3 linked regions of the Coturnix japonica genome follow. The protein of the gene in region 1 purifies or fractionates together with the protein of each later gene. This does not show direct contact. Links are inferred from orthologs where the notes say so. Each region holds a gene or a part of one and is shown on either strand. Other genes may lie near its edges. The genes, in order: GOSR1, BET1L and BET1.

Region 1 (3,699 bases):
GTGCTGCCCTGCATTGCTGTGCTGTGAATGAGCCCCTCAGTGCCCACGCAGGGGTCGCATCTCCCGTTGGGTTTGGTGCTGCGCTGTGACTTCAGCAGTTCCGTCCCCAGCAATAAGTCCTCGGGAATCAACACACGGGCTGTCAATGGGGCTGATGGGGCCGGCGGTTCCGTAGCCGTGTGAGTGCACCCCCTCTGTGCCACAGCGGTGCCCAGGAGCCCGGCTGTCCTTCTGTCTGTCCGTCCGTGGAAGCGTCCGCCCCACGCGCACTGTGCCTTCGCTGTACGTTGTCACGAGGGTCTCAAAGCGTCCTTCCCAGGGAGGTAAGGGCCGGCTCGGGGCCCTCGGGTCGTTTTTTACCTGTATTCCGATAACCTGTATAAAACTATTTTGATGTCTGCCCGCCTCCTCTCGTTCTTCGCCCTCCCGAGGTCGCCGGGGATGGGGACATCCAGGAGGGGAGTAAACTCTTGGAAAGGTCTGACAATAGTAGGACACGGGGAAATGGTTTGAAGTTAAAAGAGGGAAGATTTAGGTTGGATGTCAGGGGGAAGTTCTTCACTAGGAGAGTGGTGAGGGCCTGGAACAGGCTGCACAGGGAGGTTGTGGATGCCCCGTCCTTGGAGGTGTTCAAGGCCAGGTTGGACAGGGCCCTGAGCAACCTGATCTATGGGGTCTCTATGGGGATCTGTTGGGTCTATGGGGTCTCTATGGGGTCTCCTGGGCAACCTGATCTAGTAAAGGTGTATGTTTGGTGGCCCTGCCAGGCAGGGGGTTGGAACTCCATGATCCTTGAGGTCCCTTCCAACCCGGCTCATTCTGTGATTCTGTGACACTCGGTGCTCTGCGCCTCCCGGCCGCCAGGGGGCGCTGCGTTGGGAGGTCCGCCCGTCCCGTCGTACACCGCTCCAGCAGGGAGACGCTCTAGACAGGAGTTCTCGGCAGGCGGCGGCTGACGTTGGACAACAAAGATGGCGGCGGGGAGCAGCAACTACTGGGAAGGCGAGTGGGGTCGGGGCGAAGCTGGGCACGGAACGGGGCAGGGCGAGGCCTCGGCCGGGTCCCCTCTGCCCGCTCGCGGCCGCAGGGTGTGGTGGTCTCGTCAGCCGTGAGGCGCCGGTGTCCGGCTGAGCTCCGCGGCGGGGAGGCCCCTGTGGGGCGCGGCCTGTGGGGCCCTCAGCCCCCGTTGTCACCCGCCTCGGGGGGGGGCCGCCCCTTTCTGAGGGCCCTGTGTGTGACTCCCCCCGTTCCGTGCAGATCTCAGGAAGCAGGCGAGGCAGCTGGAGAACGAGCTGGACCTGAAGCTGGTTTCCTTCAGCAAGCTCTGCACCAGCAGCCGGGACGGGCGGCGCGACAGGTATAGGTACTAAGCCGTTTCTTTATGTTTTTATTCGCTCTTTGCAGAGTTTGCTTCGTTTGTGTGGTTTGCTTAATGCTGGTTCCCTCTGCCACCTGTGGCATTGCTTAAGGATCTTACTTTGTGCTGCTGGTGTTGGGCTGGGGAAACCTCTCTCAGGTGCCAGCATCGAGATGTGTGCCCCACCTGAGAGCACACACGGTGTGTGTTAAGTTGTGCTTAAACTTCAGTTTATACTTCATGGGATCAGCACAGCTTGGGTCAAAAGGGTCTTTAAGTTCCAGCCCTCCTGCTGTGACCAATGTCCCCACTGAATTGTGGGGAAGGTGCATGAAGGAAGGATGTGGCTTCCCTAGTGCACAGCTGCCTGCATCGTTTCCCAGTTCTCCTGCATTATGGTTCTCAGAGACTCAGTAAGTGCTTTGTACTCGGGCAGCTCAGCCTCACTCTACTCCGGTGGGTGGCTGTGCTGCTGGTGGGCCTGTGTAGGACTGGGCTGTGGTGAGTAGCCCAAGGAGAACACCAACAAAGTGGGGAAGTGAAGCAGTCAGTCTGTGGCAGTTCCTTCCCAAGGGGTGGCTGTTATTTCTGGTTTCCTTTAAGGTAAGTCGTAATAAGGAGAGCTGTATGTGTATGTTTGTACGTATATATATAACAGAATTTGTTGGAAGAAATTGCGTCTTTAGGCAGATTTGTATTTGACCAGAGGATTAATATGATAAAACTAACCAACAAGTTGTATGTTTTAGTAACTCACCTTCTTCCACAGCTCTGACACCACTCCTCTCTTAAATGGATCGAGCCAGGACAGAATGTTTGAGACGATGGCTGTGGAGATTGAGCAGCTTCTAGGAAAGGTAATGCACAAAATACCGTATATTTACATCAGCATTTTGAAGTATTACTGTACAGGTTTCTGTGATGAGTGTTTAGAAAGTAATAGCGTGGGTGGTAGAGAAGTGTTGCTTGCTGAAGGTGTGTATCTGATATAAGGGAAACCTCCTTCACCTTTCAGGTCATTTCAGGTTGGTTTTGTTTTTGTGTTGATTTTTTCTCCTCTTGCAGCTTACTGGAATAAATGACAAAATGGCAGAATATACAAATAGTGCAGGAGTTCCATCCCTGAATGCTGCACTGATGCACACATTACAGCGTCATAGAGACATCTTGCAGGTAACAAGCACGTGATCTTCTTGTTGTGTTTTATTACTTTGGGGTAATGATTAGAGTTATTAGCAGCTTGCTCAGACACACTCCAGTTGCCTGTTGGCTGGGAGGAGGCTCTATAAGTGTCTGATATGAAAGAAACAACAAAGCTAACTTACTGAAAATAAAGCCCTTTCCTCACATGTGCTGCAAGCACAGGGGCTGAAAACATCCTGACAAACAAACGTCTCCAAATGAGGTCAGGGTTTCAACAGCTTCATGCATACATTGTGATGTTAATGTAATGAGTTGGTCTTGGGCTTTTTGCTCTAGAGATGTGAACATTAGACTGAAATGGCAGGATTTGAGTGTCTTGCTTTGGTAACTCGATCTCAGGACTCTTAACTTTGGAGCGATTGTTTTATTACAGGATTATACTCACGAATTCCACAAAACCAAAGCGAACTTCTTGGCAATAAGAGAAAGGGAGAATCTGCTGGGATCAGTACGAAAAGATATTGAGTAAGTTGTGTGTTGCAGCAGCGGTGTGGGGCTGTGCCAGGAGGGAGAAGGCAGCACCTCCTGTATGAGTGTGCTTGGCTTGGGTTGATCCACTGCGCTCTGAGCAAAGTGAGAGTAGTTGCATGAGTTCACAGATTTACTGAGCTTCTGATTGAAGTATTTGCTGGTTTTGTTTGCTAATTTTAACCATGAAAATGTTTGTGAAAGTAACATTGTTAAGCACAAATCACTTATAAAATGTTTGAGCGTGACCAAAGCTTTTCTGGTTGGTCATTTCAGAGCAGTACAGCATGATGTTACATGGATCAGTAATGTCTATTGAGAAACCTCTGGAGAAAATGTTGTTCAATTTTTACTTCTTGCATTTAGGTCATATAAAAGTGGGTCTGGTGTGAATAACAGAAGAACAGAACTATTCCTGAAGGAACACGAGCACCTTCGGAAGTAGGTGTTACTTATTATTGCCTGGTAACTTGCATGTTTCCCTATGGTGGAGATTGCAGATTTTTCTGGGGGGGTAAAAATTCCAAGTGTGAATGAGAACTTTGTCTGTGATTTTTCCCTACCTCTAACAAATGTGTACAGAAGGCAATGGAAGAGCCTGGCTCCAAAATACTCATCAATCATCCCTATTAGACAAGGAAAACAGAGGGTGCTGCCTTTTTATTCTTGCT
Region 2 (3,617 bases), on another chromosome or scaffold:
TTCAGATCAGGCACCCTAATCCAATCCCAGCATCCATTCACACCAACTCCTAATTGTCTTTTGCTTACAAATCACAACAATCCTACCTGCAGCTCCTCCCTAGGTGTGAGTTTTATTACCTCCAAACCTTGCCTAGCATCAAGGCTCCTCCTACTCCTCATGCCCATGATTATTCCCCTACCGGGTTTAACTTGCAATCTGGATAATAAAGAAAATCCTTCCCATGTACTTTTCTTCCAGCATAAACAAGATAAAGGGAGGCTTCTTAGCTGCTTCCTAGTAAAGCATCATTAAGAAGCAGCTTGCAAGTAACAAAACAAAGCAGTCTATGACATCTCCAGGGCAATAATGCAGAGACAGATGCTCAGAGGAGATGGGATAGCTGGGCAGCACTGTGAACCCATAACACGGCCCAACCTGCTTCCAGGCTTGCTGACAGCAGCAGGTGACATCAGGCTGAGGTGTGATGCTCACTCACCTCCTGGTTGTAGATCTGAAGCACCTTGAGGACCGCGTCTTGCTCCCCGCTTTCCACCGTGGCCACTACGGTCCTGAGCTCCATGATACCAACAGCTCAGCTACAGCAGGATGGGAAGCAGAGAGGAAAGGCTTCCAGAGCTCCTGGATAACAGCGGTGCAAAGGGACCTCGATCCTTGAGAACTGAGAGGCAGTGAGAAAGGGGGTGGGGAAAAAGAAACAAAAATCAAGCGAGCCGGCTCACTGCTGCGTCCATAAAGCAGACGGGTGAACCACGTACAGCCTCTCTGCCCCTCTAATCCTCTTCTTTCCTCTTTGCTTTCCGACGTTTAATGCATGCCCTCCCAGCACAGCGCTGGGACACCCCCCCCTCCCCACCCGAGGATTACCGCAGCAGATCACGGTGCTTCCCGTAATAGCTCCCCGCTCCTCACTACCCAACAGGGAAGGCGAAGGCCCAGCGGCCATTTTACAGAGGCGGAGCTCCTCCTGCCGGGCGGAGCCGCCTTTCGCCGTGTGCCGCCATGGCGGACTGGGGGCGAGGTGAGGGGGAAGGAGTGAGGGGCGCGCTGAGGGGCTGCTAAAGGGGGCGCCCCGCCGCCATCTTGGGGCACCCCGCCGCCATCTTGGGGATGTGCCATGCTCCCCAGTCGGGATGATGAGACGCGTTTCTTTTCTCCTCAGGACAGAATGCGGTTGCTATGGAGGATATGCTGGACGTGGAGAACAAGCGCATGACAGACAACCTGGCCAGCAAAGTCACCAGGCTGAAGTCGGTGAGTTGCTGGCGCTGCTATGGACGCTTGCAGGGTCTCAGGGACAACGCAGTTGTGTGGGCTTCCTCAGTGCTGTGGGCATACGATGGCTGACGTGTAGCAGTAGGAGGCAGTGCTGGTCCGTCAGCTGTTGTCATATGTCCAACATAGGGAAGTTTCTGCCAGCTTTCCCAGATTATTTCCACAGCAAAAGGATTCCCACAACCCCAAACTGCAGTGAGTGAGAGGCCTTGTTTTGTGGCTGTGCTTAACAAACCTCCACCACATCCTCTAGTGTGGGCCTAGATGCGTTCCAGGTTGTCTTGGTGTTCATTAACGTCAATTTCCTCTCTTATGCTGTGTAGCTGGCTCTGGATATTGATAAAGATGCTGATGAACAGAACCGTTACCTGGATAGCATGGTAAGGAACCAAAAAAGAAGGGTAAAAAGCATGAATTTCAATGTTGGGACCAGTTTGGTCAAAGGTGGGAGCTTGGAAGCTTAATAGCTTGGAACCTTAATAGCAGTGTATGGCCTTGGAGTATCTGAACTGGATATTTGTTCAGCCTAGAAATCAAAAGAGTGGAGAGTTGGAATGAGAGATGTAAAGACAAGAGATCTTAAAGGAGAAGCCCCGAATCAGCACGCAATTGTGCTTCTATTAGAGAAGATTTAGGGATATTTCAGGAGAAACGTGAGCAAAAAGTGGGAGGTAGTTTATGAGAAAGGAAAACAGACGTGGAGTCGAAATGATAATGAATTGCTTTAAGACTTGTTTGCTGCCACCTGGTGGTGTTACAAGTGTATGCTGCCCCATGCTGAAAGAAAAAAAAGAGAACTAATGGAAAGAAACTGCGTGGTTTTGGTGCTTTTTAGCCTGCCCTGGCAGGCATTAACGGTGCTAGCTTTATGTAGAGATACTTGGTATGCAGTATTTACCTGTGCCTTTGCCACGAGCGCAGGCAGGGAAGTTCCTCATAAGAGAGACACGATAGGTACAGAGATACAGGCAGTTACAGCGCAGCTGCTGCAGTTGTTCTTTAAGCAGGAAGCTGGACCCTCCTCATGGGCTGCCTCTCCAGTTTGAAATGCTGCTTTTTGCACTTTGTTTCTCCTCTAGGATTCGGATTTTCTGAGTGCTACTGGGCTGCTGACCGGCAGCATGAAGCGATTCAGCACCATGACACGCTCTGGGAGGGAGAACCGCAAGTTACTCTGCTTTGTTTCTGTAGGACTGGTTGTTGTTTTCTTCATCCTCTACTATCTTGTGTCCAAAGCTGGGACTTGATCTTGGTTCTTGCGTAGTTTTACTGAACTAAATCAATGTGATTGACAGACTTGTTCAGCGCCTTTCTAGATCTGCCCTGCTTTGGGATCCTTGGGACTTCCCAACAGACATTCCAGATAACTTTTAACCAGTGTTTTGTCACCATTCTGGCTGGTCTTGGAGGTAAAATGAGTATTTCACTGACAGCACATCCACCAGGCTGCTCTGGATGACACATCCCACCGCACATATAGACCCTGCAGCACCCAGACCTGGAAGAGCTCAGTCAGCCCCTGGGTGATGCCACTGTTGTTCAGCTCCTGCAGCATCACATCTGTCACCTTTCCTTGGCAGCTGCCTGCCCTGCAAAGACCATTCTAACTGGATTTCCACATATCACCTGATTTTGATGTTCATGCCTATATCTCTCGTCTCATCCATGTCTTGCAGCCAGTTCTTAAGGGATACTTTTGTCTTACCTCCATTACTAATACCTGGCATATCTGACAAATCCAGATGGTTATCAATACAGGTTTAATAAATCAGAGGTTTGGAAGCTGCAAAGTTTAGGCTGTAATGATTTATAAACTTTGGAATGATCAATGTGTGACTTAATCCAGCATGACCCCAATAAACGTGTGCCTGGGCTGGGTATGCCCTCATCCCCCTACTACCTAGCAGGAACTCAGGTGTTCAAGTGCTCCTCTGCACCCAACCCATAGGGCCCCATACATTCCCACCCCCAGGCATTCAAACACAGGGACAAGGCTTAACTTGCATGCATTTAATTTATTGTCCTCAACTGTGACACATGGGCTGCGTGCAGCATGTCCCTAGTGCAGGGGGATGTCACCAAGGGAATGGAATGATGTGACACGTCATGGGGGCTGCAGGGACAACATGGGATTGGCATCGATCACTGGGGTGGGGAGAGACTGTGGGGTATAATTGGGGCTGGGAGGGGAACACAGGGTGACCTTACAAGGTGCGGTATGTCTGTATATATGTGGGAACACATGGGATGCCCCTAAATACACAAGGTAAAAGCCTGTCTTTGTGGCAGGATCCAAGACATTCCCCTCCCAGAGATACCCCCAGCTCTGCTGTGCCCCATGG
Region 3 (3,748 bases), on another chromosome or scaffold:
TTGTGATCTAGTTTAGTTTCTACATGCTTAGTGCAATCATTTTATTCAGAAATGTCTCATCAGCTGTTAGTTAATTGTGCAATGGATCAAACTTCAACTACTTTATTTAAAAAAAAAACAGTAATAATTGCAGCTTACCACTTAAGAAAACAGTGATTGAAGTATTTGGCACTAACAAAATGCTGTATCAGCTTTTCAGCGCTCAGATGATGAGTGTAACTTGCTAGGTTGTTTTCACAGCCTGTCAGTGTTGAAAGTAGAGCGTTAATCATGCTGACTGTGAAAACCTGTTTATCAAACATGTAAGAACAATGTCAATCCAGTTAGTAATTAACCAATTCACTGATAACACAGCCATTATTATTACCACACTAATAAGATTCCTTAGCTGAACTTTTTTTTTGTTGCCTTTGATTAAAAAAGCATGTTGATCAGGCACCAATGTGGCTTCAGGGCCATGGGCAACCTGATCTAGTAAAGGTGTATGTTTGGTGGCCCTGACAGGCAGGGGGGTTGGAACTACATGATCCTTGAGGTCCCTTCCAACCCGGGTCATTCTGTGATTCTGTGATTCTTGCTGAGGGGATGCTAAGATCAGCCATAGCCACAAAACAAGCAGAAGAAACTATCATAGAATCAATGAAGGCTGGGAAAGACCTCTAAGATCACCTCAAGCCACACTCAGTGCCCACTGACCCTCAGTGCCACAGCCATAAGGTCTCTGCACACACCTCCAGGGACGGTGACGGCACCACTTCATGAGCACATGAAAACTGTATTTCCTCAGTGCACTAAAGGGAACATTTATCACATTGGTACCGTTTCCACGCTCGCAGTGAAGCCCTGAATTGCTGTCTATGAACGTCACACAGCTCAGCTGCAGGCCTACACTTCCCATCGGCCCCTATACGCCGTAGCTCCCAGCGGGCCGCGCGGCGCAGCGCTGTCGTGGCGCTGCCGGTGAATGGGGCGGCTGGCGGAGCGGCGGGCGGGCTGAGCTCGGCTCTTGCTTCTCTGGCACGACCGCCCCGCTCCTCACCCTCCTCCTCCCCGCCCTCCCTCGGCAGCTCCGGGCACGGCCATGCGGCGAGCGGGGCTGGGTAAGAGCCGTCCTGCGTGGGGGGGGCGAGAGGCCTGTGGGCCGTGGCGCTGCGCGGGGTCATCAGGCTGATGTGATACGAGCGTGGGTCGGGGGTTGGGTGGGAAGGGTGTCTTGTTTGTATTCGTGTTTTATTTAATTGCGGATGTTCTGTATGTTTTCCTGCTATGTTTGAGGCTTTTGCTTTGAGAAGGCTTCCACTTTCGGTTTACCCCTGATAAGAGTGGTGGAAAGGATGGGGTCTCTGCTGGGTGTGCTCAGAGAGCCAGGTCTGGCCCTTCACCTCGCAGCCACGTTGATGACTAGAAGGGAACTTTGACCTCGTGTGTTGCTTTCTGGGACCTGGAAGTGCTGTCGTGTCCCTGTACAGCATCCCCTCTGTGGAGAGGGGGTGGCTGAGAGCCTCGTCCTGAGAGTGAACACCTCCATTGAATCACCAGGCTGAGGAATGCCTTGTGGCCAACCCAGGCATGGTTGTAGAGCTACCCGAGCTTTATTTCTCCATTTCTTGTTTGTGGCATGCAATAGTGTTTCTACAAAGTAAAACCAAACCTTAGATATGCTCCTTAATAAATCAACAGAGGTGTGTTGGGATGTTGGTTGCGAAAAGGTAGGCATTGGTAGTACTCAGGTCTTCAAATCTTGCTTTATTTTTCTTTGCTGGAGGAGCAAAACCTGAAAAGTCAGAAGGATCTTGAGGCCCCACAGCTGACTCTTGTGAACCAGAGCTGAAGGCCCTGCTCCTTATATTGCTTATCATAGAGTGGCTTGGGTTGGAAGAGACCTCAAAGCCTGTCTCGTTCCAATGCCCTGTAATGGGCAGGGTTGCCAGCCACTAGATCAGTCTGCCCAGAACTCCATCCAACCTGGCCCTGAACACCACAAGGGATGAGGCACCCACAGCTTATCTGAGCAGCCTCATCGCTCTATGAGTAAAGAACTTCTTCCTGATGTATAACCATAACATCCCCTCTTTTAGTTGAAAACCATTCCTTCTTGTCCTATCACTATCTACCAGTATGAAAAGTTTTCACTCCTGTTTATAAGCTGCCCTTAAGTACTGGAAGGTCACTATCAAGTCTCCCCACAGCCTTCTCTTCTCTAGGCTGAACAAGCCTGGCTCCCTCAGCCTGTCTTCACAGGAGTGGTGCTCCCTGCCCTCTGATATTTCTGTGTCCCACCTCTGGACTGTTTGAAACATTCCACATCTTCTCTGAAGCAGGAGCCCCAGGCCTAGATGCAGCTCTCCAAATGGAGCCTTAGGAAGGCAAAGTAAAAACAATCACCTCCCTTACCCTGCTGGCCAACCTTCTTTTAATGCTTTTAAAGGAGTGAGGGGATGGGTTGCTAAGGAAGGAATGCAGCTGGAGCTGGCCTTTGCTTGGCAAAGCTCTTACAATCAGTGCTGTAAGGGGCATCCAGAAGGTACTTCTTAAAACACCTGCTGAAAGGTTGAAGAGATGATTTAGATATCTCTTAGGACCCTTATCAGTGAAATTTGCTGATATTTATCTTGGTGTGTTGGCTGTCAATCCAGCCTTTTTATTTCATGGGCTGGAAGTACAAACTGCCCATCAGTATGTTTACTTCTGTCTCCAGCTACCTAGTACCTCCTGTTTAGCCTGAGATGATATTGTGGTTATGTCTATGGGCACATCCTGGCTATTAGTGGTGTTGCAAGACGGCTTGTAGATGTGCTGTGTAGGAGTTTCTGGCCTTTCTTTATGTAGCAGTAGCCAGGCTCTACACAGATCTTCTTGTTTCCTCTCTAGAACAATAGAATCCCAGAATGGCTTTTGTTGTGAGGGACCTTGCAGACCATTTAGTTAGAACTCACCTGCTATTAGTACTAACTTACAAGCACTCAAAATTGCTTGTTACTTAGTAGGAGGTACTGTAGTTACATATAATTGTAAAGGAAAACAATAGGAACAACCCTGACTCCATTAAATGGCATAATTCTTAGTTAACAATGGCATCAGTAGTTTTGATTTCAGGTCTAGGCTGTACTGTACTGTACAGCCCAGTTGTCTGATTTCTGTTAAGGAAATGCATTTTTAATGCAGAGTGTTTTCCCACAAGTGAAGAACACTTACTCCAATGATATTTCCTACCTGTAACTACTGGCTTTTCTGCTTACAGGTGATGGAGCACCAACTGGTAACTATGGCTATACTAACAGTGGGTACAGTGTGTATGAAGAAGAAAATGAAAGGTTAACAGAAAGTCTGCGCACTAAAGTCAGTGCAATAAAATCAGTAAGTATTTAATTATAGTTAAATTTAATTAAAACGGGTGGACTTGTGACTTGTTTATAGATGGTGGTGAAAAGCAGTAGCAGCAGTAAGAAATCATGGAGTTGAGACTGTGCCACAGAGACGTACAGGTTGTGGCTAAGGGAAAGCACTGTGACAGCAGAGTCTTTGTCCTTACTTCATAGGGGATCTGCTGTAAGCTGAAGGTCTGGCTGGTGCCTGTCTTTCTGCAGCAATAAATTGCAGCATTTGCTGCATCTCTATATGCTACTTATTTCCTATTTCCCTCATTCTGACCTGCAGTTGACTTTGCTTGCTAGCAATGACACAAGTCCAAGATCAACTTGTTGGATGATCCCCAGACTATTGCTGATCCTGGTTACAGTCTCTGGAC

What was found.
Region 2: the proteins of GOSR1 (region 1) and BET1L purify together in Homo sapiens (affinity purification with western blotting; 3 studies listed by BioGRID and IntAct, with this or other methods). This does not show direct contact. The link is inferred for Coturnix japonica from reciprocal best matches to the Homo sapiens genes GOSR1 and BET1L.
Region 3: the proteins of GOSR1 (region 1) and BET1 purify together in Homo sapiens (affinity purification with mass spectrometry; 3 studies listed by BioGRID and IntAct, with this or other methods). This does not show direct contact. The link is inferred for Coturnix japonica from reciprocal best matches to the Homo sapiens genes GOSR1 and BET1.

What each region holds. Positions count from the first base shown.
Region 1 is NC_029534.1:5,040,209-5,043,907, forward strand, and holds the start of GOSR1 (Golgi SNAP receptor complex member 1), read left to right. Parts: upstream 1-875; 5' UTR 876-971; coding exon 972-1,002; intron 1,003-1,257; coding exon 1,258-1,363; intron 1,364-2,126; coding exon 2,127-2,214; intron 2,215-2,422; coding exon 2,423-2,530; intron 2,531-2,933; coding exon 2,934-3,025; intron 3,026-3,394; coding exon 3,395-3,469; intron 3,470-3,699. UniProt on the Homo sapiens protein: Involved in transport from the ER to the Golgi apparatus as well as in intra-Golgi transport. It belongs to a super-family of proteins called t-SNAREs or soluble NSF (N-ethylmaleimide-sensitive factor) attachment protein receptor.
Region 2 is NC_029520.1:1,402,397-1,406,013, forward strand, and holds BET1L (BET1-like protein), read left to right. Parts: upstream 1-878; 5' UTR 879-1,002; coding exon 1,003-1,021; intron 1,022-1,162; coding exon 1,163-1,254; intron 1,255-1,598; coding exon 1,599-1,655; intron 1,656-2,354; coding exon 2,355-2,522; 3' UTR 2,523-3,065; downstream 3,066-3,617. Other genes in the region: RIC8A (synembryn-A), read right to left, coding at 479-562. UniProt on the Homo sapiens protein: Vesicle SNARE required for targeting and fusion of retrograde transport vesicles with the Golgi complex. Required for the integrity of the Golgi complex.
Region 3 is NC_029517.1:21,336,865-21,340,612, reverse strand, and holds the start of BET1 (BET1 homolog), read left to right. Parts: upstream 1-942; 5' UTR 943-1,081; coding exon 1,082-1,100; intron 1,101-3,241; coding exon 3,242-3,357; intron 3,358-3,748. UniProt on the Homo sapiens protein: Required for vesicular transport from the ER to the Golgi complex. Functions as a SNARE involved in the docking process of ER-derived vesicles with the cis-Golgi membrane.